4 linked regions of the Oryzias latipes genome follow. The protein of the gene in region 1 purifies or fractionates together with the protein of each later gene. This does not show direct contact. Links are inferred from orthologs where the notes say so. Each region holds a gene or a part of one and is shown in the gene's direction. Other genes may lie near its edges. The genes, in order: cct7, dcaf7, tubd1 and pdcl3.

What was found.
Region 2: the proteins of cct7 (region 1) and dcaf7 purify together in Homo sapiens (affinity purification with mass spectrometry; 4 studies listed by BioGRID and IntAct, counting the BioPlex papers as one, with this or other methods). This does not show direct contact. The link is inferred for Oryzias latipes from reciprocal best matches to the Homo sapiens genes CCT7 and DCAF7.
Region 3: the proteins of cct7 (region 1) and tubd1 purify together in Homo sapiens (co-immunoprecipitation; 3 studies listed by BioGRID and IntAct, counting the BioPlex papers as one, with this or other methods). This does not show direct contact. The link is inferred for Oryzias latipes from reciprocal best matches to the Homo sapiens genes CCT7 and TUBD1.
Region 4: the proteins of cct7 (region 1) and pdcl3 purify together in Homo sapiens (co-immunoprecipitation; 4 studies listed by BioGRID and IntAct, counting the BioPlex papers as one, with this or other methods). This does not show direct contact. The link is inferred for Oryzias latipes from reciprocal best matches to the Homo sapiens genes CCT7 and PDCL3.

What each region holds. Positions count from the first base shown.
Region 1 is NC_019876.2:13,084,021-13,091,432, forward strand, and holds the start of cct7 (T-complex protein 1 subunit eta), read left to right. Parts: upstream 1-3,401; 5' UTR 3,402-3,476; coding exon 3,477-3,482; intron 3,483-3,483; exon of another isoform or gene 3,484-3,575; intron 3,576-4,846; coding exon 4,847-4,930; intron 4,931-5,011; coding exon 5,012-5,081; intron 5,082-5,169; coding exon 5,170-5,276; intron 5,277-5,354; coding exon 5,355-5,533; intron 5,534-5,608; coding exon 5,609-5,780; intron 5,781-5,864; coding exon 5,865-6,029; intron 6,030-6,602; coding exon 6,603-6,791; intron 6,792-7,412. Other genes in the region: tip elongation aberrant protein 1-like, read right to left, coding at 88-219, 1,085-1,183, 1,612-1,849, 1,940-1,990, 2,071-2,152, 2,239-2,400, 2,645-2,706. UniProt on the Homo sapiens protein: Component of the chaperonin-containing T-complex (TRiC), a molecular chaperone complex that assists the folding of actin, tubulin and other proteins upon ATP hydrolysis.
Region 2 is NC_019866.2:4,064,733-4,071,947, forward strand, and holds the start of dcaf7 (DDB1- and CUL4-associated factor 7), read left to right. Parts: upstream 1-1,748; 5' UTR 1,749-1,996; coding exon 1,997-2,134; intron 2,135-2,393; coding exon 2,394-2,552; intron 2,553-4,999; coding exon 5,000-5,111; intron 5,112-5,194; coding exon 5,195-5,313; intron 5,314-5,392; coding exon 5,393-5,602; intron 5,603-5,831; coding exon 5,832-5,949; intron 5,950-6,190; coding exon 6,191-6,363; 3' UTR 6,364-7,215. UniProt on the Homo sapiens protein: Involved in craniofacial development. Acts upstream of the EDN1 pathway and is required for formation of the upper jaw equivalent, the palatoquadrate. The activity required for EDN1 pathway function differs between the first and second arches.
Region 3 is NC_019871.2:24,830,086-24,837,362, forward strand, and holds the start of tubd1 (tubulin delta chain), read left to right. Parts: upstream 1-2,945; 5' UTR 2,946-3,032; coding exon 3,033-3,183; intron 3,184-3,257; coding exon 3,258-3,405; intron 3,406-3,502; coding exon 3,503-3,719; intron 3,720-3,802; coding exon 3,803-4,034; intron 4,035-7,277. Other genes in the region: ribosomal protein S6 kinase beta-1-like, read right to left, coding at 1-39, 969-1,037. UniProt on the Homo sapiens protein: Acts as a positive regulator of hedgehog signaling and regulates ciliary function.
Region 4 is NC_019879.2:4,243,843-4,251,142, reverse strand, and holds the start of pdcl3 (phosducin-like protein 3), read left to right. Parts: upstream 1-2,707; 5' UTR 2,708-2,973; coding exon 2,974-2,979; intron 2,980-3,423; coding exon 3,424-3,547; intron 3,548-3,730; coding exon 3,731-3,821; intron 3,822-4,283; coding exon 4,284-4,427; intron 4,428-6,552; coding exon 6,553-6,761; intron 6,762-7,243; coding exon 7,244-7,300. UniProt on the Homo sapiens protein: Acts as a chaperone for the angiogenic VEGF receptor KDR/VEGFR2, increasing its abundance by inhibiting its ubiquitination and degradation.

The sequences.
Region 1 (7,412 bases):
AAGGACAGAAGGAACAAACACACAGCATGAATTTCCTCCTCCGATCATTTTGATGAGCCTGACTCGCCGGTCTGGTTCAGCGCCGACCTGTGCAGAGTTTCCACATTGGGTCTTTGCAGAACTGCATCCTGGCTCCCTGCCCTCCAATCAGAATCGCTGTCTGAGCGTCGATGGGACATAAAGTTTGACCCCAACGTGCCGACGGGCTGATCAGCAGAGCTACAGAAGAGAAAACATAGTGAATAGTTTCTTCTTTATAAGACCCACTCGGATGAAAACTGTCTTTTTAACAGGTTCTTGAAGCATTTTTTGATGATTGACATTTATAAAGATAATTAAGCTCAAAACTGTATTTACGAGTATTTCTTTATTCAAATTGTTGCAAATGAGGAGCAGACGAAAAGATGCCATTTGAAAAAAAATTGTAGTGGTGACATAGAAAATACGCAAGCTCATCAAAATAATATTAAAAATGTCCTTTCAGAGTAAGAGTCGGCATAATGGGGCCTGTTTGGATTATTTTCTGTAGGTAAAAAACTTTCAGCAGAAGGTAGAAAGTGTGTAAACGAACTCTACGGTGGCCCTGAAGTCCAAATCACTCAACATAAAAACACATTAAAGCTCACAACAACCGTGAATAAAAACATCACATATTTTAGAAATCAAAACAAAATTCTAGAAACCAAAACGTCAAAAAATAGAAACATTTTGATTTCCAGAAATAAAAACCTAAATAAAATCTTTTCACAGGAAGTTACTGCTTTCCCTCTTCTTCAAAACTCCTCATCCAATCAGTGATGTCCCATAGCACCTACCTTTACTGATTTTTATTTTATTTTAACATTTTATTTTGCTTTATGAAAATTGCTTTTGTTTTTTACGCTTTGATTTCTGGAACTTTGTTGAAATTTCTAAAAATTAGGGGTTTTGGTTAATCGTTTACCTGTTTTTATTGTTGTTGTGATCTTTCATATGTTTTTATGATGAGTGATTTTTTTGTAGTGATTTGGACTTCAGGGCCACCGTAGATAGAACTCAGGCCTGAAAATCCAAATACAGGATATAAAGCTATGTGTAAGCATACCAGTCTGCGTGGGAGTCTTGGCCTGCCTGCTCTTGGTCCTGGCTGTGCCCTGTGGGGGCGTTCTTCCCACACCCCCACCCGCCTCATCTGCTCCATTATCTGTGGAACCAGACGTAAAGAAGAATGACTTCAAGCTGCTTCAGCCTCTGAGTAGCACTGCTTGTTAAAAAAAAAATGGAATGGCTTGGTTCAAGCACACTTTTGTCCTCAAACAACTGGTTGCCGTTAACGCCACCCTCTGTCAAATTAAAGACCCACTCTGAGGAAAATTGGGGTTTTGGGAATTTCTTGTGGCTTTTTTCTGATGATGAGGGACATTTAAAGAGAAAATGAAGATTAAAATTGCATTTCTGAGTATTTCTTTATTCAAATAGTTGTGAATTAGGAACAGAGGAAAAAAATAGTTTAATAAAGAGTACATTTGTGTAAGTTTGGCGAAAAAATGTCAATCATAATCAAAAGACCATTGAGAACGCTTTTAAAATAGATCCAAAAATAATCGGAATGGGACTTAAAAACTTGCTCACCTGCTCCATTCACGTTTGAGGCCCCTGCTCTGCTGCCAAACAGCCTCTTGCTGCTTTTGCCTTGACCTTTGACCTTCGCCACAGGTGTGGTCTTCTCCCGAGCCCCATTCGGACACGTATTCTCCTCCTCCTCCTCCTCCCCCGTCTTTGCCACCTTGCTGTCACCGTCGGCGTCCTCCGACGTTCGCTCCCTCTTCCTCTTGTTGAGCTCTCGGGGTGCGAGGGGAGCCGCCATGTCCTGGTGTGAGAGAAATGCATTATTTCTCCCTAAAACACACACAGTAACTTTTTTGAAACGGTAAATATTTAGGAGGACGTCGTGGGTTACCTTTGGGGTGTATTCCTTCACAGCCAGGATACGTTCTGGTTCTGCTTTTGACTGGGTGGAGTATATGGATTAAACTTGTCAGATGTTGCACAACAAATGTGAACTTCTTTCTATTAAGCTTCTGCATTTACCAGATCGCCTCCTTCTAAAGTAATAGTCAGAGTGACGCCGTTTGTCCATGTCTCTTCTTCCCACTGCTCCCATGACAAACATCTGCAGCAAATGTGTTTAGAGTGGCTTTAAAATACACTGCAGTCATTAATGATTTAAGAAATATATATATATTTTTAAAGTGTTACTTGTTATAAGGAGTGAGTTTTCCAATAGTGATGGGGAACCTGTCAGCATCATTGAGCTCTGCGTTGACGCAGATCCTCTCCCCCCACGGCCCGCTGCTGAACAGCACCACCTGGTGGACAGAGGCAGGAATAGCAACCGAAGCCCTGCAAGATCCATCGGCACTAAACAGAAAAAGAGGAGGAAAATAGGGAAAAAACGCGAATAAAGGTGAAGTGTTGTCCTAAGGTACATTTAATCACAAAATATCACACAATTTACAAGATATTAGACACGTATATTCCGTATTTCACTTTGAAGTGAGGGTATATATACATATATATATTTTTTTAACATTAACTTTATACTGAACATAGTTAAAGTGATGTCATTGTCGTAACACTAGTTTTTTTAGCGCCTTTCTCGTACCTTAGCAGCTTCTGAGGCGGACCATTAATTCCGAAAACACCAAAGACTCCGAACTCTTCCATCTGGTCGATCTTTTTCGAATTCAAAAACTGCTGCCAGTAAGCCCTCTTGCTGTTTCACACCAAATTCTTCGTCAAATAAAATGAAGGACGCTTCAACATTTGCCTGTATTTCTCCGTTTGCAATCTCTCCCGCCACCGCTCTGTGTAGAATTTCTGAACTCCGCGCGAGTTCTGGGTACGTTATTGCAAAGTGCTTGTTTTGTAACTTAGGGTGTTTTTGAAGGGGCGCAAATGATGTCCGATTGTGAAAACAAATAACTCCGCCCGTGTCTGACAAAGTAACGCAAATAACCAAACGCATCCTAGACGGTTGTGCTCAGGCTGAACGACCAATCAGAGGCCTTTGACATTTTCACGGAAGCTAAACAAAAAAAGTTGCGTTCAAAGCAACTTAACAGCGCGCGCTTTGAGAGACAAATTTAAAAAGTAAAGTTAGAACAACCAAATATTACGATTTTTATAAAATAAAGTATTCTAATAGAGATAAAACTCTGAAGTTTAAATTCATAGAGTTGAATTGGATGTTTAAAAACATTGAGATTTTTTGGGATACCACATTTTATGAACATTGATATTTATTCACATTTTCTTTTCGTTTAGTTATTATATTAATTTGTCACACATGTGTAACGAACACTAATATAGTAGAACGTTTTAAATAACCGTAAACAAAATATTTGTATTCTTGAATGCAGACCCAGCAGCATCAGCTCTCGAAAAGCATTGTGGGATTGGTTGCCGGTGAAAAGCTTCTCGAAAGAACCGCAAAGATGATGGTGAGTTTGTTAGCATCCATCTATTAATCATCATCCATCCTGGCTTGCATCCGTTACCATCGATGTTAGACATTTTCGGGACGTATCCGGCAGGTTGTCAGCTACGTTTTAACGCAGTTATTTTGTGGATATCGATTGTAAAAAAGATTTTATTTGTTGCTACACACTGTTAGCATCCGACAATCAATGGGCGTATGTTAGGCTAGGGAAGATGTCATCCAGCATGCTTCGTGTTCACTATTTACTAGATTAAAGTCACTTTCAGGGACTACAAAGAAACAAACGAGCAAATACTGTTAGTCTTGTTAAATCGCATTATTTAACAATATATTGTTATTGTTTTTGACATAATGATATGCTAGCTATCATATTAGCTTTTTGTAATACTGTCTCTTTGCCGCAGTGGTTGTAGTTCATGTCTGTTTGTATTGCCATCTGACGAGACTGATAATGCATTAAAATATATTTTATGACACTTAAATACCTGTTGCAGCATTACCAATGATATTCAATTTTGTCATCCGTTTTTTAATTATCACACTATATAGCTTAAAACTCAAACTGCAGCCTTAAGGATTTATCTTAAGTCACTTTTACTTGAAGAAAAATGTTTTAGGAACAGAAGAACCTCTTGTGAGAATTTGGTGGCTTTGTAATAAAATAAAGCGTAAATGGCTGTTAGTATTTTGTTTGATTACCCACGTGCCTCTGGGGTGTTTGGTTTTAAAGACTCACTCCGTTGAAAAGTGTTTTTGGTGTTTGTAACATGTTCTCATGGATTTTTTTCTGACTAGGAAAGAGATATGTTAAGGAAATTTAGCTTAAAATCACATTTATTTCTTTATTTTTTATTCAAATCATTGTGAATCAGGAGTAGACGAAAATAGTTAGTGGGCGGGGCACAAGCTCGCTGCTCCGCTACATTCTGATGCATCCGCTTGTAGACAAATAATGGATCCATGAACGTCTTTGTTTTCCTCGTCTGAGCTGACATTTGGCTCAAATCCGTACGACTGGATAGCTCCAATATTGGTCGCCATTTTTATGTTGGACTGGTAATGTTAGGTTGGGGTGTAAGATGGAAGGAGAGCATGTAAACAGAGAGCTGTCAGTAACAGGGAGGGCTTGCTCTGCGTCAACAGTCCTGCCCAAAACCTTTAGGTGAATTTATTAAAGAAAAAGAAAAAAGCAGGAAAACTAATGCAGCTCTGCAAAAACGATGTCCTGGAAAACAACCCTGGTTTTTTACATTTTGGCTTCATTAAAAGACCCCTGAGATTGCTTGTAGAATAGATCAAAAGATAATGGGGCTTTAAATATTTGCCATTTTAACATTGGTGTTGTGGTTATCCCGTGTCCTGCAGCCCACACCGGTTATCCTGCTGAAGGAGGGGACAGATTCGTCTCAGGGCATTCCCCAGCTCGTCAGTAACATCAATGCCTGCCAGGTAAGGGGGAACATCTACTAGCGAATTTACTACATAGACTGTGGAGCCTTTCAGACCTGCTGATTGCTGTTTCCTGCCCAGGTTATTGCTGAGGCTGTCAGAACCACTCTGGGGCCCAGGGGGATGGACAAACTGATGGTGGATGCCAGAGGTAAGGAGGGATGGGATTTGGAGAAGTTTAAACATGACAGAAAATGTTGTTTTGTTTGTTTTTTTGTTAACATGTTTGCATTCTCCAGGAAAGGCCACGATTTCCAACGATGGCGCTACCATCCTGAAGCTGCTGGATGTGGTTCACCCTGCTGCTAAAACCCTGGTGGACATCGCTCGTTCGCAGGATGCTGAGGTGAGTAGAAGTGGTATTCTGAAGCAGCTTTAAAATTGAAATTGACTTTTAAATGAAGGCGCCTCTCTACATATACAGGTTGGAGACGGCACCACGTCCGTCACCCTCCTGGCCGCCGAGTTCCTGAGGCAGCTGAAGCCGTTCGTGGAGGAGAGTCTCCACCCTCAGACCATCATCCGCGCTTTCCGCACTGCCACCAACCTCGCTGTCAGCAAGATCAAAGAGATCGCCGTCTCTGTGAAGAAAGACGACAAACAGTGAGCTGCCGATGGTTTTTGCGCAGCTGAGACTCAGTCCATCGTGTTTGCTGATGTTTACCTCCATCCTGTCAGAGAGCAGAGGCAGCTGTTGGAGAAATGTGCAGCGACCGCCCTGAACTCCAAACTGATCGCTGGGCAGAAGGAGTTCTTCTCTAAGATGGTGGTGGATGCGGTCATGTCTCTGGACGAGCTTCTGTCTCTGAAAATGATTGGCATCAAGAAGGTCCAGGGAGGAGCGCTGGAGGTGGGTGTTCTTTCTCGTCTCTGAGCGTTTGGTTTCTAGCTGGCTGCTTTTTTGACTCCCTTGTGATCATTTGTTTGCCCGCAGGATTCCCAGTTGGTCTCTGGCGTTGCTTTCAAGAAGACGTTCTCCTACGCTGGCTTTGAGATGCAGCCCAAACGCTACGATAACCCGAAGATCGCTTTGCTCAACGTGGAGCTGGAGCTGAAAGCAGAGAAGGACAACGCTGAAGTTCGTGTCAAGTCTGTGGAGGTATGAGGCTGCTACAGCAAATCCTCTTTAAGCTGTGTTCATACATGTGACATGTGTTCAAGAACTCGCTCAATTTAGCTCATGATGTTCACACTGGACAACCAGGAAGGGGCTTTTTTCTTCTTTTACTGTTTACTCGCGCATCTCCACCACCTACAGTTGGGAGAGGCTCTGTGTGAAATGTTGAAGTGGTGCAAATCTCATGAATCTTCTTCCAGGCTTTTTATTTCTCAGCTCTATTGCAATATATGAAAGACTTGGTGTCACATAATTTGGACCAGGCACAAATCACAATTATCGATTTTCTCGGCACTTCCTTAAATTAAAAGGGATGCCGTCCATACGTCTCTACCAAATCCTGATCGGTTGAAGTTTGATGGGGTTTATCTTTCAACATGCCCATAAAAAGTTTTAAAAACTTGTGTAGCAACGTTTGAACGTGAGTTTTAAATGAAAGCCTGAAATGTGCGTTTACGTTGATCTCTATTTGGAAGTGGTGGCTTGAACGCCCATTGCTGAGAGCAATTTCCTTTCCTGCTTGGTGAAGAAACATTTCGTCCACTTCTTCTGCAGGAATATCAAGCCATCGTGGATGCAGAGTGGAACATTCTGTACGACAAACTAGAGAAGATCTATCAGTCTGGAGCCAAGGTTGTTCTGTCAAAGTTGCCCATCGGCGACGTGGCCACCCAGTACTTTGCAGACAGAGACCTGTTCTGTGCTGGCAGGGTGCAGGAGGAGGACCTGAAGAGGACGATGATGGTGAGACAAAAACAATGTTTTCTGAGGTGTTTTGACGGCAAGACTCTGCTTTATTGAATCAAAAAAGAACCTGAAATCTCGTTTTAGGTTTTTTTGCTATAATGTTCTTTTGCCCTCCCAGGTTTTTGATGTGGAATACTGTTGGGATTATTTGAAGGCCCACTCCGATGAAAACTGTGTTTTTAAAATGTTCTTGAGGCATTTTTCTCATGATAGAGGACATGTAGAAAGAAAATTAAGCTTAAAACTGCATTACTGAGTATTTCTTTCTTCAAACAAATCGGGAGCAGACGAGACAAGTGCAGTTTGATAAAGGTGACGTAGAAAATACGCTGAGCGGGCCACTTCCTGCTCTGCTCCATTCAGATGCATCCACTTGTAGATAGATCCATGTACATCTTCATTTTCCTTGTCTGAGCTGGCATCTGGATCAAAACTATATGGCTGGATAGCTCCAATACTGGTCGCCCTTTTTTTGCAACAGTAATGTGAGGTTGGGGTTATGAGGGGCTGTAAGCTACCGGGAAAGCACGTAAACAGGGAGCTCTCAGTTATGGGTGACGGGAAAGGAGGCGGGTTACTCTGCACCAACAGTCCTGCTCACACCTCAGAGGTGAATTT
Region 2 (7,215 bases), on another chromosome or scaffold:
GTTTTTTTTCTTTAACTGTTAGAATAAACCCCAAAATATAAGTTATAACCTAAATGGTCCAGTAATACTGTGATAACAACGACACCCAACAAATCAAATGTAGCTAAGTCACAAACAACAGCTTGAGCATGGCTGAATATACAGGGACAAATCGTTTGCTAACAAATACATTTAAAAAAAATTTTTTACCTTTACTTTGCTATCAATTAATAACATATCTAAGAATTAAGATTAATCCTAATAACTAAACCCATCCCCCAACTCTCACTCACTTTAATCTGTTAGCAAACGTAGCATTTGGCTAATGCTAGCTAAGGAAGCCTGACACACTGTCACGTTGAACTAAACCTGTGTTCTAGATCAATATAAAACTGCTATATATTTAGTGAGATTTGTAAACAGAGTGTAAACCAAAAATAATGAAGAAGCTGCCTACCTTGAGGATAAAGTATAGCAATGAACGCGAAGCTGGTTAGGAGAAAAGAACTTGAAACTGTCCTTGGAGTAAAGTTCCGTTTGAGACAGGAAACTGCCAGTGACATGACTTGCCTTTCAAAATAAAAGCAACGATGTAGAAAACTTTTTCCAGAAGTCTAGCATGTGTTCTCTTGCAGTGACAGATAACAAGACACACCAAGATTTCCTTTTTTTTTTTTTAAATCACCAACCAATAGAGTGTTTTTACTGCAAGATGAGTTGTCATTTGTATAAGAAAGTCTGGAGTGATAGAGAAGTATGTTTGAGTTGTTCAGGACATCCATTAGAGCTGGAAGACATAAGACGTGCTGTATGTGTGACAGAAGAGTTCAAGCTGGAGGTGAGACTGCACCATCAGCTTTGAGCTCCTTCTTGTTTGCTGTGATGATGGATGGACAAACTGGCAGATAAGGAACCTCTATAGATCGTGATGTTTGCAGTTGACATCACGATCTGAGCAGAGAGCAGGTGGAGGAACATCTAGGAGATTTGTTCTGGAATGCAGAGGAATGAAGATCAGCTGCAGCAAGACAAAGTTGCTGCATTTAAATGAGAGGAATTTAAGCGGAATGTTTCAGGGAGCAGAGGTGAAAAATTGAGGACTTTAATGGCCACTTGTTGTGGTAATTAAGCCATTCATTAACATACCATGGTTTATAAACTTTACATTAATTGAATTATAAATTGTCTAGGAATACTTTTGACAGCAACAAATACAAGTTCCTTTCAAAACCAGCTGACAGTGCCACACCGTCACAAGGAGGTTCGATATTTGGTGTGGTATACGATATTTTTTTGGACAGAAAAAGCAACTAAAAGGGCTCAATCAAATTGGAATAATCTTACTTCCGGTTCATGTGTCAAAATTAAACATAGAAACAAGACTGCACATTCGTTAGAAAGTAAACATTGACGCTGCATCGTATAATAAACATAAAATTCATTAGGATATGTAGACAAGATGTTACAAGAAAAACAATCTTGAAGCCTGTAAACTGTATTTACCCCCTTATGGTCACAACTGCAGACAGTAATCAAGATTGACGTAACTACATAATTTCGCTTCCGGTAGACACGTTAAAAATAAAACTATTTTGAAACACAGCCTGACAGTGAGAAATACATAGCAAAAAAATTACGTAAATTTTATTTTAATTATAATTAAATTCATAAAACACATGTTTAATTTAACAACATAAACTCAAACGTTCTCACTAAAAGTTTTAATGAGTGCTCTTTAAAAACTCTCTTTTATTTTGAAAGTGTAACCAGGAAGTTCTTCATACGTCGGTTAGATGGTTCGCCATCAAGATCGTAACAAGCAATGCTACTCTTTGTTAAGTGAAGTGCTGTAAAATCTTGTTTTAGAACAAGATTTACGTTTTTAACAGTCAACCGTGCTTCTTTTGATGCTTTTCTATTATAGGAAAACGAGCCGGTAAAAGTTCGTCGCGGCGTTTTCTTATTTGACAGTAAGCTAGGGCTAGCGTGTTAGCTGCTCAGACAACAGCTCGTGAGGATGTCGCTTCACGGCAAAAGAAAAGAAATCTACAAGTACGAGGCGCCATGGACGGTGTACGCAATGAACTGGAGCGTTCGTCCGGATAAACGCTTTCGGCTGGCCCTCGGGAGCTTTGTGGAAGAGTATAACAACAAGGTGCGTAGCTTGTTTTATGTTTTGTTTTTTGAGTCAGCTAACCCTTCACGAACAAACGCGCTTGAATCAGTGCTATGCTAGCTCTGTACATGTTTAGAGTGGTATTGCAAAATGTTATTGCGTTTATTATCTTCGTAATAACGTCTCCATCGATGCTTAATGGTACCCCTTTTTTAATTTAATTTAATTAATTAATTAATTTATTTTTTATTAGAACGAATCGCTTTTATTTTTTTCTTGTCATCATATCTCTACTCAGGTTCAGTTGGTGGGTCTGGAAGAGGAGAGCTCCGAGTTTGTCTGCAGGAACACGTTTGATCACCCTTACCCCACCACCAAGATCATGTGGATCCCGGACACCAAAGGGGTCTACCCAGACCTGCTGGCCACCAGTGGAGACTATTTGCGCATTTGGAGGGTAGGATGTCAAACCCCGGTCACCTGCTGCGTCTGTCATGTTTTTGTTTGGGTCATCTCTTTGTAACTCGAGTACTTTTCACTTTGGGATTTTTTTTTACATCGGTGTGTTTGAAGGAACTTATACTTGTCATGCTTTACATTGCCGCATCGCTGCTTTATGTGTTAAAACTCTTTTATATTAAAGGGGATTTTCAGACCTGTAAGCATAATGTTACAATTATCAAATGAAACTTTATTTATAGGGCATTTTTCATACAACAGTGAGTGCTTTATAGACTTGAAACAATCAAAAAAATAAATAAATTATAAAATAGATTATAGAACACATTTAAACATAAAATTACATAAATACAATTCAAAATAGAGACAAAAGTGAAAGAAGTGAGGAAATTTTATTTTGAAATGAGATAGAACTGTAAGTAAGTAAAAGTAAACTAAATGTCTGGAGCATTTTTTTTTAAATAAAAAGGTGTATGTTACCTCTTTATTTTCTTTTAAAAAGCACAGCATTTGTATATATTTTTTTTAAATTTCCCTGAACTATAGCTATAATGCTGAACCACTATGACAAAGGCTCCATGTATGTAATGAAACCTGTCGTTATACTTTTTTTCCTCCCATTTCTAACTTTTGTGATGCCTCACAGTTTCTTTTAAAAGTATCATTTGGCAGGTTACATATATGCCTGTTAATTGGCTTCTAACATCAGTTTAAGTATTTTTTAAAAACACACGCAATGCTGTTTATTAGGCCTGGGCGAAAAATCGATTGAATGAATTAATTCGAATTTTTTGTTACGGGCGATTTCAAAAATAACTGAATCGAGTTTTTGTGTAATGGCGCATTTTTGGCTCCCCGGAGCTTCCGTAGCGTTAGTTTCACACGGCAATGTGGCAAGCGACAAACAACAACATCATAGCACACACGAAACAGCAAGCGACAACATGGCTTACTGCCACCGACGTGGAGGAAGAGCCCCCCCCCCCACGCTGCAACATTTGCCTAAAGCCCATCGCAGTCAAAGGCAACAGCACCACAAACCTATTCCAACACCTGGGGGAAACCTTTTATTACAGTTCTCCTTCAATCCGTAACTCCAAACATGAACGCCCCCCCCCCCAGCACGCTGTCACTCACTCTCGCGCGGCACGCGCTCATTCCTCTTACACACGCACGCAGTGCGCTGACACGCACACTCATTCTCCAACACCTATATGGTTAGTTCATTAGTTACTTCGTAGTTAGTTTTTACTGTTATTTGTTAATAAAGAATACTGCGTTGCAATTATGAATTACATTTATTTGTGTATTCATTTGCGATGCCGGATGTTGTGTTAGGCGGGGGGGTTGACCGCGACTCCTGCTGCTTCGTCAGCGCGGTGATCAAAAATCCCACACCGTGACAGCTCTAGTTTATATCTTGTGGGACACAGAAAAAATGCGACTTTTCCAGTACGGATAGCAGAACCGTTGAGGTCAGATCTTGAAGAATGTTGCTCTGGGGCTCGTTCAATACGGGGGCTCAGTACCCATCCCTAGGGGCACGGTGGAGAACAATCACTGAAGCGGTCGCTTTGCATACAGCCAAAGACATGGTACCCATATATACTGTGGAGAAAACGGGCTTTATTAATTCAATTAAAACCTTAGACCCCAGATATGAGCTGTATTGTTAATCCTTTAGAAATGGTGCTACTCTCAAGGTGTAAGTCTGACTTAAAACACAGCTGGGACTTTGATTCCCGGAGTGTGTTCATTTATTTATTATTCATCCCAGAAATGGGGGTTACATTTGTCTTGCGTTTGATTAAATAAATCAAAATTTGCTTTAAGTTTTCTGCCGTTTGTACTTATTGCTTTCCTTAGGTAGGGGGGAAAATCGGAAAAAATCAGAAATCAATTAAAAACATTTTTTTAGACCATATCGCCCAGCCCCAGTGTTTATACATGCTTATACCATGGTCTGAAAGAATACTTAATTCTGATTGGCTGCTGGGTGTGGATATATCATTTTCCTTTGCCGCTCCAGTCGAGGTCACAAGACAATTTGCAGCACAACGTAAGAAATAGTCTGCTTTTTGTGAGAACAATTATTTAAACCCAAAAAATAGCAAGAATAAAGTACTAAAAACTGATTGAATATTTATTTCTTTTGTAAGTGACCATCGTAAAGGCGGGATAATTGCCTTTGAAGTGTGCATTTTTCAAAAATGAACGCACTTCACAGAAGCAACCAATTCAGGCTTCCACGGCGTGCGTTAATTTCTGAAAAATGCACTCTTGGAAGACCTTTAACCCTTACTTAATGAACTATTCAGCCTCCGATACTGATTTTGAGCATCAGCAAAGAAACATTTCCGACGGGATCTGCATCGTAAGGGATGGTGAGGGAATTTGCTGGAAGTCTTGTGGACTTTTGTGGATTTTTCTGCTTTTATTTCCCAGGTCAGCGACACGGAAACACGTCTGGAGTGTTTGCTAAATAACAACAAGAACTCAGACTTCTGTGCCCCTCTCACCTCCTTTGACTGGAACGAAGTTGATCCCAATCTTCTGGGTAAGAAAAGTATTTGATAAATGCAAGCCTAGTCGGGTTTGGGGCATTTGAGAAGTCATTAAAAAAAGTATTTTATCCGACAGGAACATCCAGCATCGACACCACCTGCACTATCTGGGGCCTGGAGACAGGTCAGGTGTTGGGACGAGTAAACCTGGTGTCTGGGCACGTGAAGACCCAGCTAATCGCTCACGACAAAGAGGTCTGTGCTTGTCTTGATTGTAAAATGGATTGGTATTTGTCTGTACAGAAGAGTTTTCAACCTCCTCCTGTCTCTGCAGGTGTATGACATCGCTTTCAGCCGTGCAGGAGGGGGCAGAGACATGTTTGCTTCCGTGGGGGCCGACGGATCCGTCCGCATGTTTGACCTGCGACATCTGGAGCACAGCACCATCATCTATGAAGACCCCCAGCACCACCCACTGCTTCGTCTCTGCTGGAACAAACAGGACCCCAACTACCTGGCCACGATGGCCATGGACGGCATGGAGGTGAATCATTTAGCATATAGTTTTGACATTGACAAATACAAATCTGGAATTTATGTCGCTAATTATCTCTTTTGGTGCAGAGGAATTTGTCATTTGCAGATTTTCCACCTCTTTTCGTCATTTTAACTTTTGTACAAAGTCCTGTTTAAACCAGTGTTTAATGATTCTTCCAGATAAAGTTTAGAACATTGTCAGAAATGGGCTTGTCCTCATGGTGTCTTTGCGGTAGGTGGTCATCCTGGATGTCCGTGTGCCGTGCACACCCGTGGCGCGGCTCAATAACCATCGCGCCTGTGTCAACGGCATCGCCTGGGCCCCTCATTCCTCCTGTCACATCTGCACTGCAGGTGAGTGGAAACCAAGGAAACCGTTTCCCCATACGGTCTTTTTTGATTTAACTTTCATAAAACTGGTTTGAAAAATGTTTCCAATTGTGAAAAACCAAAGTGGCTTTTTGCCAGAGTGCATTTGGAAAGATTTGCCATTTTACCGATTGAGGTTTTTTTTCAAATGTGGGTGGGAAAAGCTTTTGTTTCCGTCTGCTTTTCTTCTTGTTCCTGACTTAAAACATTTGCTGTATCTTTCCAGCCGACGATCATCAGGCTCTGATCTGGGATATCCAGCAGATGCCACGTGCCATCGAAGACCCCATCCTGGCCTATACCGCCGAAGGGGAGATCAACAACGTGCAGTGGGCTTCAACACAACCAGACTGGATCGCCATCTGCTACAACAACTGCCTGGAGATCCTGCGTGTCTAAAAGCCCGGAGAAGGACTTCTGCTTCACCTTTGGACTTTAGTTCTCATTCCCCTGCTTTCAGTCCCAGGACACGAACACAGTTTAGCTCTCTGAGAGTGTTTGGATGATCTAATACCTGCTCTGCAATAAATTGGTTTACATCAAATGTCCGTGCATCCGCTCCACCGCTTTTCAGAGAAACGTGTTTAAGCTCTTATTCGTTTTGGCCCGCAGCTGGAATCAGCGTCAGAGCTGTTGTCTCTAAAATTTAGGCGTCTTTTATACGCCGAGGCGATCATGAAGGGTTTAGATGTTGTACATTTCATCAGTTGAATTTGTCGAGGTCGATTCTAACACTGGTTTGTGGCAGAAGACGACCTCTGATGCGTAGGAGTATGTTGTAGCCTTTTTTTTTAGTGGATTGCATACCATAATCTTTTCAAACTAAGGTCCTGAATATTAGTCTTGTTTACCTGCCGATGGGTCATCTCTGCGCTCGGGGTTCAGACCCGTGCAGTTTTTTAAAGTTGCGAAGTAAGACGGGATGCATTCCTGTCTGTTATCTTGAATTGGATCCAGAGAAACTACCATGTACAGACAAACCTAAACATGTTCGTCTTTCTAATGACTTTGTGTGTGTAGAAACCTGCCTTTTTCTTTCCCGGTCAAGTGCGAGATGGAACTGAAGTTCTTGAATGCATTTCTGTCCACTGGCTTTTTGTTTAATACTTAAGGGGCCCTTGTAGCATGCCAATACAAGGTAAAATGTACATACATATAAATATATCAACAGCTGTTGGTAAGCCAAGTGTTCATGTTGTAGCTCTTTTTCATAAAGTTTATTATTGAATTTGCTCTAATAAATTGTATCCT
Region 3 (7,277 bases), on another chromosome or scaffold:
AAACCCACTGCACTGCTCCATAAAGTCATGATGCTGACCCTGATTAAAACAAACAAACATTTCAACCATAAAAATCACACTGGTACCTTTCAAAAAAAATTATCAAAAGAAATGCTATAATAACAATGAAGTAGTGTAAATATATTACAGTATTACAAACATGAATCATTGCAGACCACTTATTATATGGAGTGTTGCAACAATATGTAAAGACAGGCACCGCAGAATAAATCATGAGTTATAATAAAATGAGGTCTGTCAATATTTCTTCTTTTTAAGGATGAAAAATAATTAGATGTGGAGTTTAAACTACAATAAATAAAAGGCACTTAAGTTTGGTCACATTTAAATAAAAATATTCAGAAACATAAAATGCATGCATTTTGTTTTTTATGCACAAACCAGCAGATAACGTGTCAAATAAACTGCTGAAGTAATCCAGGAACTGCCCGCATTGAGCAGCTTCTGTTTACTGTAATTACAGCTCTATGCAGCATCATAGCGGTGCTCAGGTGTTTGTCCTGCACTCATTCAACCCGGTGTTGCCCCTTTAAATGTTTCAGTGGGAGCAGAAGTAAAAAGGGCAGCGAGCTCCCAGCTCACGTTGTCAGAGCTGGCCAAGACAAACTGCACGTCTGTCTCCCTGCACCACATTTGCCCAACAAAGCCTGGTTTACTTTGCACAACCCCAGAAACTTGGGTCACGTGAATTTTAAGACAAGGGACAGCAGCACGCGCTCGCGGCAACTGAAAACAAACAGAAATGAGGCACGCGGAAGTCCTGTCGAGTAGGCATGTTAGCCTCCGCGCTGCTGCTCCGAAGCAGCAGAGGATGGATAGCTCCGGCTGCAGGAGCAGGCCTGCGGTGAGTGCAGGCAGGCTACCAAGCTAACAGCTAGCTTAGCTACCGTGTTTCTGCTGTGACAGCTTTTGCAGATATACGTCCAACTGTCTATTTAAAAAAATACCTCCTCGTTTTCATCATCGGAGACGTTTTCCTCTGGTTGGTCCAAATCTATGTCAAACACTCCAGCCATGACATCCAGTTGCTGGGGTTGTTCTAGTCACAAACTCCAAGAACAGCGAGCGGCGCCCACCTCATGGACAAACACACACGGCCGCCATAACCGGCTACTACAACGAGCATGCGCACTGTGCTACTCTGGAAAAGGGGCGGTGACATTTTCCTACTACAGTCAGAAAATGCTTACATTTACTACACTATTTTTTAAATAAAACATTTTTCACGACTGCGCCACCTTAGAAATATCTGATTTCATAGGCCAAGCCCGGTTTGGACCTGTTTAGTTACGGAATTGGAGGCTTTTCAAGGACAACAAAATGCAGTATGTCACTGCAACTGCAGGGGGCACTAACCAGTGCTTCATGTGCCCGTCCAAAGTCCGGATAAATGCAGAAGGTTGGGTCAGTAACATTGACTGTAAACAACAATTGACAGCTCAACCTCTCCCTTCTCGCGTTCCCAAAAAGAAAGTGCCATTGCTTCCTGATACGGGCGCCGCCATGCTATCTATTTTTAATGTGTTCTTGATAATTCTGTTTTTTGTTTTTTTTTTTTGGGGGGGGGGGTATTTTTTCTTTATTGCAAGTTATTCATGTTATAAACTGACCAATCAGATGGCTCAATAAAATCACGTGGTGCCCCCACATCTAACACTCAAATCAAGTGTTTGACATATTCTTCTTATAGCCCGTTTTCAACGGTAAGGGTGTGGACTTCCAACAACCCCTCCCCTGAAACCCACCCACTCCAACCAGCTTGCACACACCTCTTCATCTTTTTCCAATTCTCTCTGATTCTCTGGACTATTGACCTTTAGGTCCTCCACCTTCATCCACTCTGCTCCCTATAACCTCACAATCCCACTTGAATTCCACTCATTTAGACTCAGATAGTTTCTTACTGCAGCTGACCTTCAGTCTTCTCCTTTAGTCATCTCCTTTCCCAAGCAAACTTTCATCTTTTACAATGTGCCTCCATCTGCTCTCTGATCTTATTATAAATTACAATGTCATCTGCCATCATTGTGGTCCACAGATATTCCTGTCTAATCTCACCTGTCGGTCTGTCCATCACCACAGCAAACAAGAAGGACCTCAAAGCTGACCCTTGGTGTTGTCCCACCACCACCTTGAACTCATCTGTCACACCTACAGCACCTTAGAGTTCACAGGGATGTCTGGCACAACTCCAATGTCCTTCTCTGCCATTCCAGAGTTTCTCAAACAAACAGCTCCGCTCTCCATACTTTGTTCTGACCTTCTCTGTTCTTCTCCAGCAGCTTCCTCAAAGCTAATAATGGAGATTGCATCTTTAATTCAAGTTTTGTTCCACATCATGCCTTCCCTGACAGCCTTGGGAATGGTGCATGAGAGCTCTGGGTTGTACTACCATGTGGTTGCAGAAAGGACTTCTGCCATAAAACTGACAGGATGAATTCTCAAAAATGGAAAAAGCATTAGGCCTAAAAATAAAAACGACACGATTGGTTGGGCAAAGAAAAACAACTAAAAGTCAAGCTAGTTTGAATTTTAGTTATTAAAAACACACACACAACTTAATAATATAATCAATTCAGTAAACTATGATGCCCACTGGGTAAACAAGATGTATTGTTTATTTTTAACTTGTGAAAGGTTTTATCTTCATTCTTTAAATTCTGCCTTGTTTCTGAAAACCTTTTTTTTTGGTAAAAGTATGTTTTTTAATTAAGAATGTCAGTGAAATAAATTGGGTATTCAAATTAATGCTCCTTACTCTTTTCACACAGCGCTCCAAGTCCTCCAACCAATACATTTCCACTGCTGTTCCCTATAAAAACGCATTTGTGTAAGAAGGCATATGTCGTCGTTATATTTTGAAAATATTTCGTTCAAAGAAGTCTTATTTTGAAAAAACTTAACAGGAAGCGATTGTTCACAACACTTTGTGGCGGCAGCGCATGCGCTTTTCAAAATCGTAAAGGAAGTATTTGTTTACTGTAGCGCGAGTGCAGCGGCGTTCTGCTGCCATGTCCGTAGTGACCGTCCAGCTCGGTCAGTGTGGGAACCAAGTGGGTCAGGAGCTGTTTGACGTCCTTTGCAGCGATGCGTTGGCAGCACACAGGAAAACGTACAGCACGGCCAGCTGTGAGAGGTTCTTCCATCTAACATCACATGGAGGTAATGATGCCGGCTACAAACCTGCTGGGGGTTTTCTGAGCAGACCCTTTATTTTATTTTATTTTCTACATTAGACTTAGAAGCCAGGGCGGTGCTGATTGATATGGAGCCCAAAGCGATTAACTCCAGCATGACCAAGGCTCTGAAAGGTGGCAGGTGGAGGTATGGAGAAGCTTCCCACTTTAGTCAAAAGCAGGGATCTGGAAACAACTGGGCTAATGGGTAAGGATGGGTCCAGAACTAGAATCAACTACGCTGAGATTGTAGTCCAGAGAAAGGTAAGTGATTATCTAGTTTTGTGTTTCATGCCTCCGTCTAGGTTTTGCGTCCATGGTCCTCGTCACAAAGACGCAGTGGAGGAGCTGGTGAGGCGGGAGGTGGAGCGCTGTGACAGACTGGCAGGTCTCATGACCATGATGAGTGTGGCAGGTGGAACCGGCTCAGGTGTTGGCACCTACATCACTCAGTGTCTCAGAGACATCTACCCAGCATCGTTTATCCTCAACCACCTCACATGGCCGTACGGGACAGGGGAGGTACAAATCTGTATTATGTAGTCGTCATGACGCAGAAATGTGCTTTTTCTGGTGACATTTCTGTCTCCAACTTTTTCTTTCAGGTGATCCTTCAAAATTACAACTCGGTGCTGACGCTGGCTCATCTCTACCAGCTGTCCGACGCCATCGTGGTGCACGAGAACGACACGGTCCACGGGATCTGCAGTCGGCTGCTCAACATCAAACCCATCGCCTTCACTGACATCAACAGAGTTATTGCTCATCAGCTGGGTGGAGTCCTGCAGCCGGCCTTAACCCCTGACTCAAATGGAGTCTACAGCCTGAATCCTCTTGGTGAGTGAGGTGCAAACCGTGGACAAAGTCGTTCCACTGTAATCGTAAGAAAACCCCACAGTGGCTGCTAAATAATTTAAAAGCTTTGATTCCATGCTCCGGGTGAATACTCGATTCTGATTGGCTGCTGGGTGTGCATTAAAACCTGATAACCGCACAGTAAAAAAAGAAGGTCCGGTCACCTAGCTTAAATTTTTCGTATCACATTTTTTAAACAAACCTTTGCTTCATCATTTGGACAAAAACAAGCGGTCAGAGGTGAACTTTCTCTCTGAACTGATGCTTTATTCAACCAATCAGAAAGATCAGCATATATACATCGCCGAATCTTGACTGCAGCGGTGATGCAGCGTCACGCGGACTGTTATCTGTTACGCACATCGCTTTTTGTGAGGAAAGCGATCCAAATCGGAAAAAAAAACAAGAATTAAGGACTAAAAACTGGTTAATATGTATTGCTTTTGTAAGTGACCATAGTATAAGCAGGTTAATGGCCTTCGAAGTCTGCGTTATTACTTTTTAACGCACTTCGCAGAAGCAGGTTCAGGCTTCCACGGCGTGCGTTAAAAGTAATAACGCACACTTCGTCGGCCATTAACCCTTACATAATAAATAAAGATCTACAACTCGTAGGAAAGTCAGACATCACTTTTGAATCATTGCTTAACAGAATCCGCTAAAGCAACTGGATAAAAATGACAAGTCATAAAACTTTTGAGGCAATTTCTGTCTCCGATTTGAATGCAGTCTTCTCCAGACAGCATGGAGACGACTGCTCCATCACAGATGATCAACGTGATTTAGATCAGAGATCATCTAGAACAATGCAATATTTTGTTTGTGGACATTCTAGGATCATTTTTGCTTTTGGATTGGTATTGTTGTAGTGTTCATGAGACCATGCTGTCAGATAGCAGATTGTCCTATCAATGAAAGTTAGTAGTTGGGAGATACAGGGCCTTGCAAAAGTATTCGTCACTCTTGAACTTTTCAACCTTTTGCCACATTCCAGGCTGCAAGCATAAAGATATAAAACTATAATTTGTTGTGAAGAATCTACAACTGGGACACAATCATGAAGTGGAACGAAATTTATTGGACATTTCAAACTTTTTTAACAACTAAAAAACTGAAATATTGGGCGTGTGATTTTATTCAGCCCCCTTAAGTTAATACTTTGTAGTGGCACCTTTCAGTTTTGCACATCGAGAGACTGAAACTTTTGCTCATTCCTCCCCGCAAAACAGCTGGAGCTCAGTGAGGTTGGATGGAGAGCGTTTGTGAACAGCAGTTTTCAGTTCTTTCCACAGATTGTTGATTTGATTCAGGTCTGGACTTTGACTAGGCCATTCTAACACCTGGATGTGTTTGTGAACATTGTAGATTCTGCTTTATGTTTTTGGATCATTGTCTTGTTGGAAGACAAATCTCAGTCCCAGTCTCAGGTCTTTTGCAGACTCCATCAGGTTTTCTTCCAGAATGGTCCTGTATTTGGCTCCATCCATCTTCCCATCAATTCTAAACATCCTCCCTGTTTGCGCTGAAGAAAACCATGATGCTGCCACCACCATGTTTGACAGTGGGGATGGTGTGTTCAGGGAGATGAGCTGTGTTGCTTTTATGCCGAACATAACGTTTTGTATTGTTGCCAAAAAGTTCAGTTTTGGTTTCATCTAGGGCTGCACGATATGAGGAAAACTCGCGATATGCGATATTGGTAATTAATATTGCGATAAAGATATAAATTGCGTTATATAAACAAATAGCAAAAAAAACAAAAACATCATTTCCATTTCACTGCATTTCCAAATGACCCTTGTCGACGTAGGAGGCAAACATCAAACATAAAAGGGCTCATCTGATTGATCAAAAACGTAAACGGGTCCTTCTGATTGGTTAAATGCACAAAGGGATTTATTTCATTTGTTCAATATTTCAAGCTGCCATGAGTTTGTTTTAGCACATTTAAGGTAATCATTTATTGCGATTTTTGCGGTATGCATATTGCACAGCTTGATTTCGCGAGAACGATAAATTTGCGGTATATTGTGCAGGCCTAGTTTCATCTGACCAGAGCAACTTCTTCCACATGTTTGGTGTGTCTCCCAGGTGGCTTGTGGCAAACTTTAAACAACACTTTTTATGAATATCTTTAAGAAAGTGCTTTCTTCTTGCCACTCTTCCAAAAAGGCCAGATTTGTGCAGCATACGACTGCTTGTTGTCCTCTGGACAGACTCTCCCACCTCAGCTGTAGATTTCTGCAGTCCATCCAGAGTGATCATGGGCTTCTTGGCTGCAGGTCTGATCAGTCTTCTTGTTTGAGCTGACAGTTGAAACGGACGGGCGGGTCTTTGTAGATTTGCAGTGGTCTGATACTCCTTCCATTTCAGTATTGTTGCTTGCACAGTGCTAATTGGGATGTTTAAAGCTTGGGAGATCTTTTTCTATCCAAATCCGGCTTTAAACTTCAATCACAACAGAATCTCGGACCTGCCTAGTGTGTTCCTTGTTCTTCGTGATGCTCTCTGCGCTTTAAACAGACCTCTGAGACAATCACAGAGCAGGTGCATTTATACGGAGACTTGATTACATACAGGTGGATTCTATTTATCATCATTAGTCATTTAGGTCAACAGTGGATCATTCAGAGATCCTCACTGAACATCTGGAGAGAGTTTGCTGCACTGAAGGTAAAGGGGCTGAATAGAATTGCACGCCCAATATTTCAGTTTTTTTATTTGTTAAAAATATTTGAAATATCCACTAAATTTCATTCCACTTCATGATTGTGTCCCACTTGTTGTTGATTCTTCACAACAAATTATAGTTTTATATCTTTATGTTTGCAGCCTGAAATGTGGCAAAAGGTGGAAAAGTTCAAGGGGGCCGAATACTTTTGCAAGGCCCTGTATGCTGGTAGGCAGGAGGAGATGGCAAAATGTCCCGATTACACCACTTATGAGTACATGTACTGTATGTTGGTTGTACTTGTCTATTATGCTTATTTGATACCATCTGACACAGAGAACCCTGAAACTGCTCCTCCCGAGTCCAGCTTATAATGAAAGTTTTGGGAAGAAGTAAGAACAGGGAAAACAGCAAAATACATTTACTTAAACTCCCGTCTCGTGAGTTTAAATTTGAGAGCAGCTGTTTAAGATAAGTATTAAAAAATCTGTTGAATGCTGGTTAAATTTGACGACAAGAAATTCTCCAGAAATGACTGAACATCAATTCTAAAA
Region 4 (7,300 bases), on another chromosome or scaffold:
CTCTCCTCTAACACCTTCATGTCTTCCTTCACTGCATCCATAAAGCTCCTCTTTGGTCTTCCTCCAGACCAGTAGCCTGGCAGCTCTAGACTCAGCATCCTTCCATCAATACCTACAGCCACTGTCTCTCCTCTGGACACGTCTGAACCACCACAGTCTGGCCACATGTCCATCATCATATCTGAGAGTTGTATGTCTTTGAATGACTCCAGATGTCGGGAAAAGAAAAGCAACCTCATGCAAGCTCAAGAGGCATCTGCTTTGTTTCTTGTGGTTTATACCAGTGTTTTTCAACCAGTGTGCCGCGGCACACTAGTGTGCCGTGGGAGATGGTCAAGTGTGCCGTGGAAAATTGCCCTCATTAACTGATCTAAAAACATTAACCATCTCCAGGAAATCAGCTCTTTGTTCATCCAAACAGGTCCTGATAAAACACTGAGTAGTTAGGAATATGAAAGATCATAAAATACTTATTTCTTTGTGTTTAACTGATTCTATTAAAGACATTTTGATAAGAATGACGGCACCGCGATTAAGCTGCAGCTATAACTGTTTTCTGAAAAGTCCCGCAGCTTTTACTGTCTCCACGACTCCACCAATCATTCTTGAAGGCTTAATCACATGTCATCAGTCTGACCAATCAGAAGTGTTTAAAGTCTAAACTTCCTTGTTCCAATTTAGCTCATAACTCACTCATTTCCAACAAAAACACCAGCTAAAGCTTTAGCGGTGTAGCTTTCCACAGAATCCGGTATCAGACCGTGGAACAAGTGAACAAAACCATGAAGCTCAGAGACGCGAGTCTTTCTGCCGTTTTCTCGCCGTATTCACACTACATCTCCCATGATGCATTGGCTTAAAGGGACAGCGCCTCAGCGTACAATGAGTCGTCCTTGTTACACGGATTGAAACCACAACGAACATACAGTTTGTATGTAACTTAACTTTTATTACATCTTTTAGAAAAAACATCTGCAACTTTATCACAAAAATGCACGTCAGATTGCCGGGGGGGGGGGGCTGTAGATCAAAACAGACTATGAGTTTCTGCTTTTTTGGGGGGGGGGGGGGGGCTGGTGTGCCGCGGGATTTTTGTCAAGGTTAAAGTGTGCCGTGGCTCAAAAAAGGTTGAAAAACACTGGTTTATACCTTCAGAGGAAATGTTGTAAGTTGTTGTAAGTCTTTCAAAGATAAGTTTTCTCCTGTTGCCATGGCAACAGTAACATCTCATCTCATGGCACAAATCTTTTCTACATTCATGAACTCTGGTTCTTTATTTAGCCTAGCCTGCTCAGTCATTCTGAATTTAGTTTCTGGTTAGAAACGTGATGTGCGAGAACAAAGACTTGTTTGATTGCAACATGCAAAACAAGCAGATCGGTTTGTTTCCTTTTCTCTTGTCTACAATATTAGTTGATTTACTGAATAAACATGGTATTATATTTAGTCTTCTGAGGTTTAAACAACTTTATATTTGTGTCATTTGGGGAGGTGGGCAGGAAAGAGTTTTAGGAAATGTTATGATTGTTAAGGCTTCTCACTACAACTATGGGAGAAGCAACTCAGAGAATTTTTGAAACAGAGCAGCACAAACATGCAATTCAACAAATAACTCAAAAAATTGTCATACTATTCAATTTTTTTTCCTCGCGTATTTTCTTTAAAGAAAGCATCACAGGACTTAACGATGCTGGAAATAAAAAAAATAAAAATAAAAAATAAGGATGACGTCGTGTGCAATATGGTCCAAAAGCTGTCTTCAGTTCAAAGAGGTGGGCCATTTCCGGTTTTTCAAGCTCCTGAACCACCTTCATGAGTTCAGTGACCTGTGATTTCATCTTAGCAAACTAAGGACAAGTTTGTACATGTCCATGGTTCAGCCAAACGGTTCTAAAGTCTTTGTTCATTGTGGTCACATGCGAGGTCTCATGTGGATGGTTTAGCTTCCGGAAACTGAGTGCAATCTGCTAAAACTCACTAAAATCTCTTTAAATCTGAGGAGAACAGCGAATATGTTACTTTACAAACCACGTTTTCACATTTAACACTGACTGATGTTGTTTGTTCAGCTGACTAACGGTATCAACACGGTGTGTTAAACTTTTCCTCTTCACTGAAGGTTTTCAAAAATGTTTGAATAGAAATTCTTCTCTTTGAATTATGTAGTGCTGTCATCAATGTACATCACATGCAGGAAAACCCTTTCGTTGTGATCTGGATAACTTGATCCACATCACAATTGGTATCTCGTTCTTAAACCGTTCTTCAACTGTTTTTTTTTTTTTTTTTTTGACAGATATTGTCCGTTTTAAAGCACGCTACCCAGGTTATTATTCCCAGAACCATTCCCAGAAATTTAACAAACACAATCACATTTTGGAACAGAACTCAACTTTTTAACATGGACCAGTGCAACAACATTTTTAACTTGATGAAGATTTTACATGCGTTCATAAATTTACAATTTACTTTTTCAATAAATAAAATTGCATGTATATATATAGTAACAGAAATATATGAAATAGTAGAGGACAAAGTTGTTTTTATTTGCTTTGTAAAATAATTATGCTGACAACATTTAGACGTTCAGTTAGTTAACACGACTCTGTGCGCATGCGTGCGTTTTTGCAGCACCTGTTCTGAGTCAAACGAAATGCTCCGCTCCCCTTCCTTAAATGGTCATATCGAGTCCACAGGAAGTTGTTGTCACATTTATTATTGTCGTACCTGCGATGGATTAGTTCCTAGCTTTTTTAAATATGTTTAAAAGTTTTTTTTTCTGGGGGGAAATAGTAATAAAAAAGAAATAAAACATTTTAATGAAAATATGACATACGAGCTGAATTTATCTTATGGTTATCTTTAGTCTCCTTAGAAATGTTAGGTTGTTGTTTCTGCCGGAATCGCCGTCACTGCTTTCCTTCTGCTTCCGTTTTTGGGAGAACAGCCGTGGTTTGATTTTCTCTGAAAAAAATGCAGGTTGGTAAAACTATTTTATTTACTGTAATACTTTGGTGTACGTCTCTGAGCGAAGCCGCGAAACTAAAATATACCAGTGGGGTTAATTATTTGTGAACACATTGAGGAGGGGTTTGAATGGAGACGGGCGTATTACACGTTTTGTGTCCTCATCTTCCTGAATAATTTTTATTTCCCCTTTTTCCCCTCTGAATTTGAACCCCAACATTATACTAATAAAGTTGTTTAATTTAGTTCGAAGTACAAATAATACATTTTGTAAAGGTGCCTCCATAAGAGTTTAAGATTCGTGTGTGTGTGTTAATATTAGCAGCAAAGGTCCAGTTTTCTTAACTCTCTTCTTGATGTCATATCCTGTTTATTCTAAAGATTGTTTAATCCGTATAGCAGAGGCGTATGAAACTATGTGATTATGTCATATATATACACATTTTGTTTTTCCAGGATCCAAATGAAGACACCGAGTGGAATGATATCTTGAGGAAAAAAGGAATTCTTCCCCCCAAAGAGGTTCCTAAAGATGAAGAAGAGGACACTTTGGCTGTCCAGCAGCAGCAACAGTCTGTTGGTAAGACAGATAAATTAGAATTAGGATAGTTGGATCTAACAGAATGCTTCGAAACTACCACCCTAGTCCTTAAAATTCATGTTTCTCTAACATTTTCAACCAACAAAAATCATATAATTCCCAAAACATAATCAGCAGAAAATTGTTGTCCCTTTTAATTTTATTTTTTTTGTCTTTGACTAGTCAAAACATATGAAAACATGACACTAGACGAACTGGAGGAAAATGAAGATGAGTTTGGTGAGGATGATGAGGCTGCCATTGAGATGTACAGGTAAGCAGAGGTGGAGCGGATCTCAGGTTAGTCTCAGGAATCACGCAGCCTTCACCAAACTTTCAGACTGACACAGAGCTAATAATTGCAGCACCTCATAGACTGGGATTTATGGTCCAGATCATATCAGTGGGTCAAAAGCATTCCTTTGTTTCGTGGTTGGGGTTGGTATAGTTGCATATCTATTTCTACTCTTTTATTTGAAGCTATCTTTTTGTTGTTTTTACATTTGATTAACCCTTTTACAAATTTCCCATCGATCAGAGTCTCTTTTGCACTCATTGTGTGAACTCTGAGTGATTTGAATTGTTAACTTGCTGAAATGTTTTTGAACTAAAACCCTTCTCTGGGGAAATTCTGCCGTCTCAAAGGGTCGGCCATGTGAGCCTTTGGGGTGAAGCTGTTTGCGCTTTGGGACCCACCGTCTGTAAGTGAACTGATGGAAGCCGTCTCTCCTTCCAGACAGAAGCGTCTTGCAGAATGGAAAGCAACTCAGTTAAAGAACGTGTTCGGGGAACTGGGGGAAATCTCTGGACAGGATTATGTCAAAGAGGTCAACAAGGCTGGAGACGGCATCTGGGTGGTGCTGCACCTCTACAAACAGGGGTAAGCCAGCAAAAGCAACAGGGGAACAAAACCAACAAACCCCTGGGCATTTCTGTGGGTGAGGGGGGTCTCATGAAAGCACATACAGACGCATGCATGCTGGGAAAAGACTAAGGACGATTGAGATTAAATACACGGGCATACAAAAACGTGCCAACAATGAAAAACTGGTCTTTTGTGATATAAAAAGCAAAATTTTACTATAGAAAGAAGCAGGAGTGCTTACATGAATTTTGCTAGATTTGATTTGGGAAATTAGATTGTTGGAAGCTGTTGGAAAAATACTTTTAAAAAAAAAATCCAATTATAATTTCAGAATATTTGCCACTGGATCTTTTTAAAATGTATTTTTTCTTTTTTTTTAAACTATTTTTTAAAATTCCTTTTTCAACTTTAGTATTGGATTTAAAACACTTAAAGTACTTCCTTGTTAAATACCAGTTTGTAAAACGTCTAAATGCAGTAATCACTGTCTGCCTAGTAAAATTACTTTGGTGATTTCCTCTTTTCAGTCAAAATTTACTTTTTGTTTTTTATAGAAGAGATTTTGAAGGTTTGCTTAAAATTTAGATCAGGGGTCGGGAACCTTTTTGGCTGAGATAGCCATAAACGCCACATATTTTTAAATGTAATTTCGAAAGAGCCATACAATAATGTAGTGTCCCTTTCCCACACGGAGGCACGGAGACTTAACCTCTTTTAAGGTTCTTTATTCTGGTTACTGTAGACCGCAACAAACGCAGTACCATCAAAAGAGCCATATATGGCTCGCGAGCCATAGGTTCCCGACGCCTGCTTTAGATGTTTGCTCATTTTTAACAGTTTGATTTTTCTATAAGACTTTTCAGCTTCTAATGAAAGACGAGAGACTTTCAAAACCAAAGACATAATCTGTTATGCTACTAGTTTAGCAGGATTACCTTCACCATATCCGATGGCTTGAAAGTTGTATTTAAAAGTTCTTTGTAGGACATCGTATTTTCATGACCATAGGGCGCACTGGGGTGCAGTTTCAGTTTTGGGTGATTTTTCTGTATTTAACACCTACAAATCGCACGCCGCGAGGACGTTCAAACATACTGGTAAAACATCCATGCTAGTGTGTGTTTTTAAAAAGGCAGCTGGAGCAAAACTGAGTTGGTTGTGATTTATTTTTACATTTTTTCCGTCCTCAATCAGCATCCAAAAATCCATCAAAGTCCTCATCTTCTGTATCCTAAATGAACAGCTGGGCTACATTTCTATCAAACACGCCAGCTTCCCGTCTGTCATCGTCAGAGTCCGTCTCAGTTGCCAGTCTCAGTTCTTTCAGAGGAACATTCTTTATTTCTTTTCTCAACTCCAAAACGTTGACTGACCGCGCTGTATGCGCTCCACAAACACCCACACTCATCCCTCAACACTCGTTAGCCCAAGCATCTACAATCCATTCACAAATTGTGGTGTAACTCGCCCAGCGCTTCCTCCCAGTCTTAGTAAAAGTGTGACAGCTTGCTGTTTAAACTGATATGAGTGTATCTCTTTGCATTTTCAGGGTTACCAAAACGATGCTGTTCTGCTTAATGCACATGCCTTTTGCACATGCATTTTTGTACTATTCGGGGGGGGGGGGTCTTCTTTCACGTCCTCACTGCCCTCCTTACTGTTCTCATGCTGTCCTCTTCTCCGTCCTCTTTACCAAAGGGCGCTCCATACATTTCGGAGAAAATTTACGACTTTTAAGTAAGGCGCCCCGTAGTCGTAAAAATACAGTATTTTAGTGCGAGCCTTCAATGATGTTCCTGCTTCGCATCCAAACTCTACCTAAACCTCACAGATGGCTGCAACATTTGGAAAAAAATCTTCAAAGCTCCAGCTAACATAAGTCTTTAAATAATAATAACCCTCTTTTTTACCACCCATTATGTGTTAAAACTGTTTTAGAAACTAAATGCTCAAACATCTTTTCAATTTTGCATCGTTGTTGTTTTTGGGAATCATTATATTGACAGTAAAGTGATATTAGACGTTGATCTTTTTATCCAATTATGAATAAAATTCTGCATCTAAACAGCATTTTTTTCCTTTTTTTTAAAATTGTGTTCAACATTAAAGCAACCTTTTCTTCTTTTTTTTTCTCCCCCAGCATCCCCCTCTGCACCCTCATCAATCAGCACCTGAACATGCTGGCCCGAAAATTTCCCCAGACAAAGTTCCTCAAGTCCATCTCCACCACTTGCATCCCAAACTACCCCGACCGCAACCTGCCCACTATATTCGTCTACTTTGAAGGGGAGATGAAGGCGCAGTTCATCGGTCCTCTGGTGTTTGGAGGCATGAACCTCAAAGTGGAAGGTAAGCAGTAGCTAAAACACTGCCACAGCTCTCATCAATGGTTATTTCCAAATATTTCTCAGAATATTGTTTGTGTGTGAGCCTTTAGTGGGATGTCAAACATCTGTGAATAATACTCACCGCTTTGGTGATTATGCTAATTGTCATGTCAGTTTTTCTAAATAAAGTTTTAAAGACTTTTGGGTTTTGTAACCTTAGTTTGGGATTTTGCCAAATGTCCTTTTAACGTTTGGCAACTTGGTTTATTTCAAAAAAGTGTCCTTAAATATGATTCTCATTATTTTAGGACATGTTCAATTTAAATGTGGATAATTCTAGAACATTTGTTTGTCTTGCTTTTTACGCAGAAAATGCGTTTAGACTTTGTTCATGTTTATTATTCATTCACTTTGTAATCCATTTGTTCCCTTTCGGGGTCACCGGAGTCTATCCCGTGACATGTCCCATCACATGTTTATTATGTTTTTTTGTAATTCATCCAGAGCTGGAGTGGAGGCTTTCTGAATCCGGGGCGGTGAAGACAGAATTGGAGGAGAACC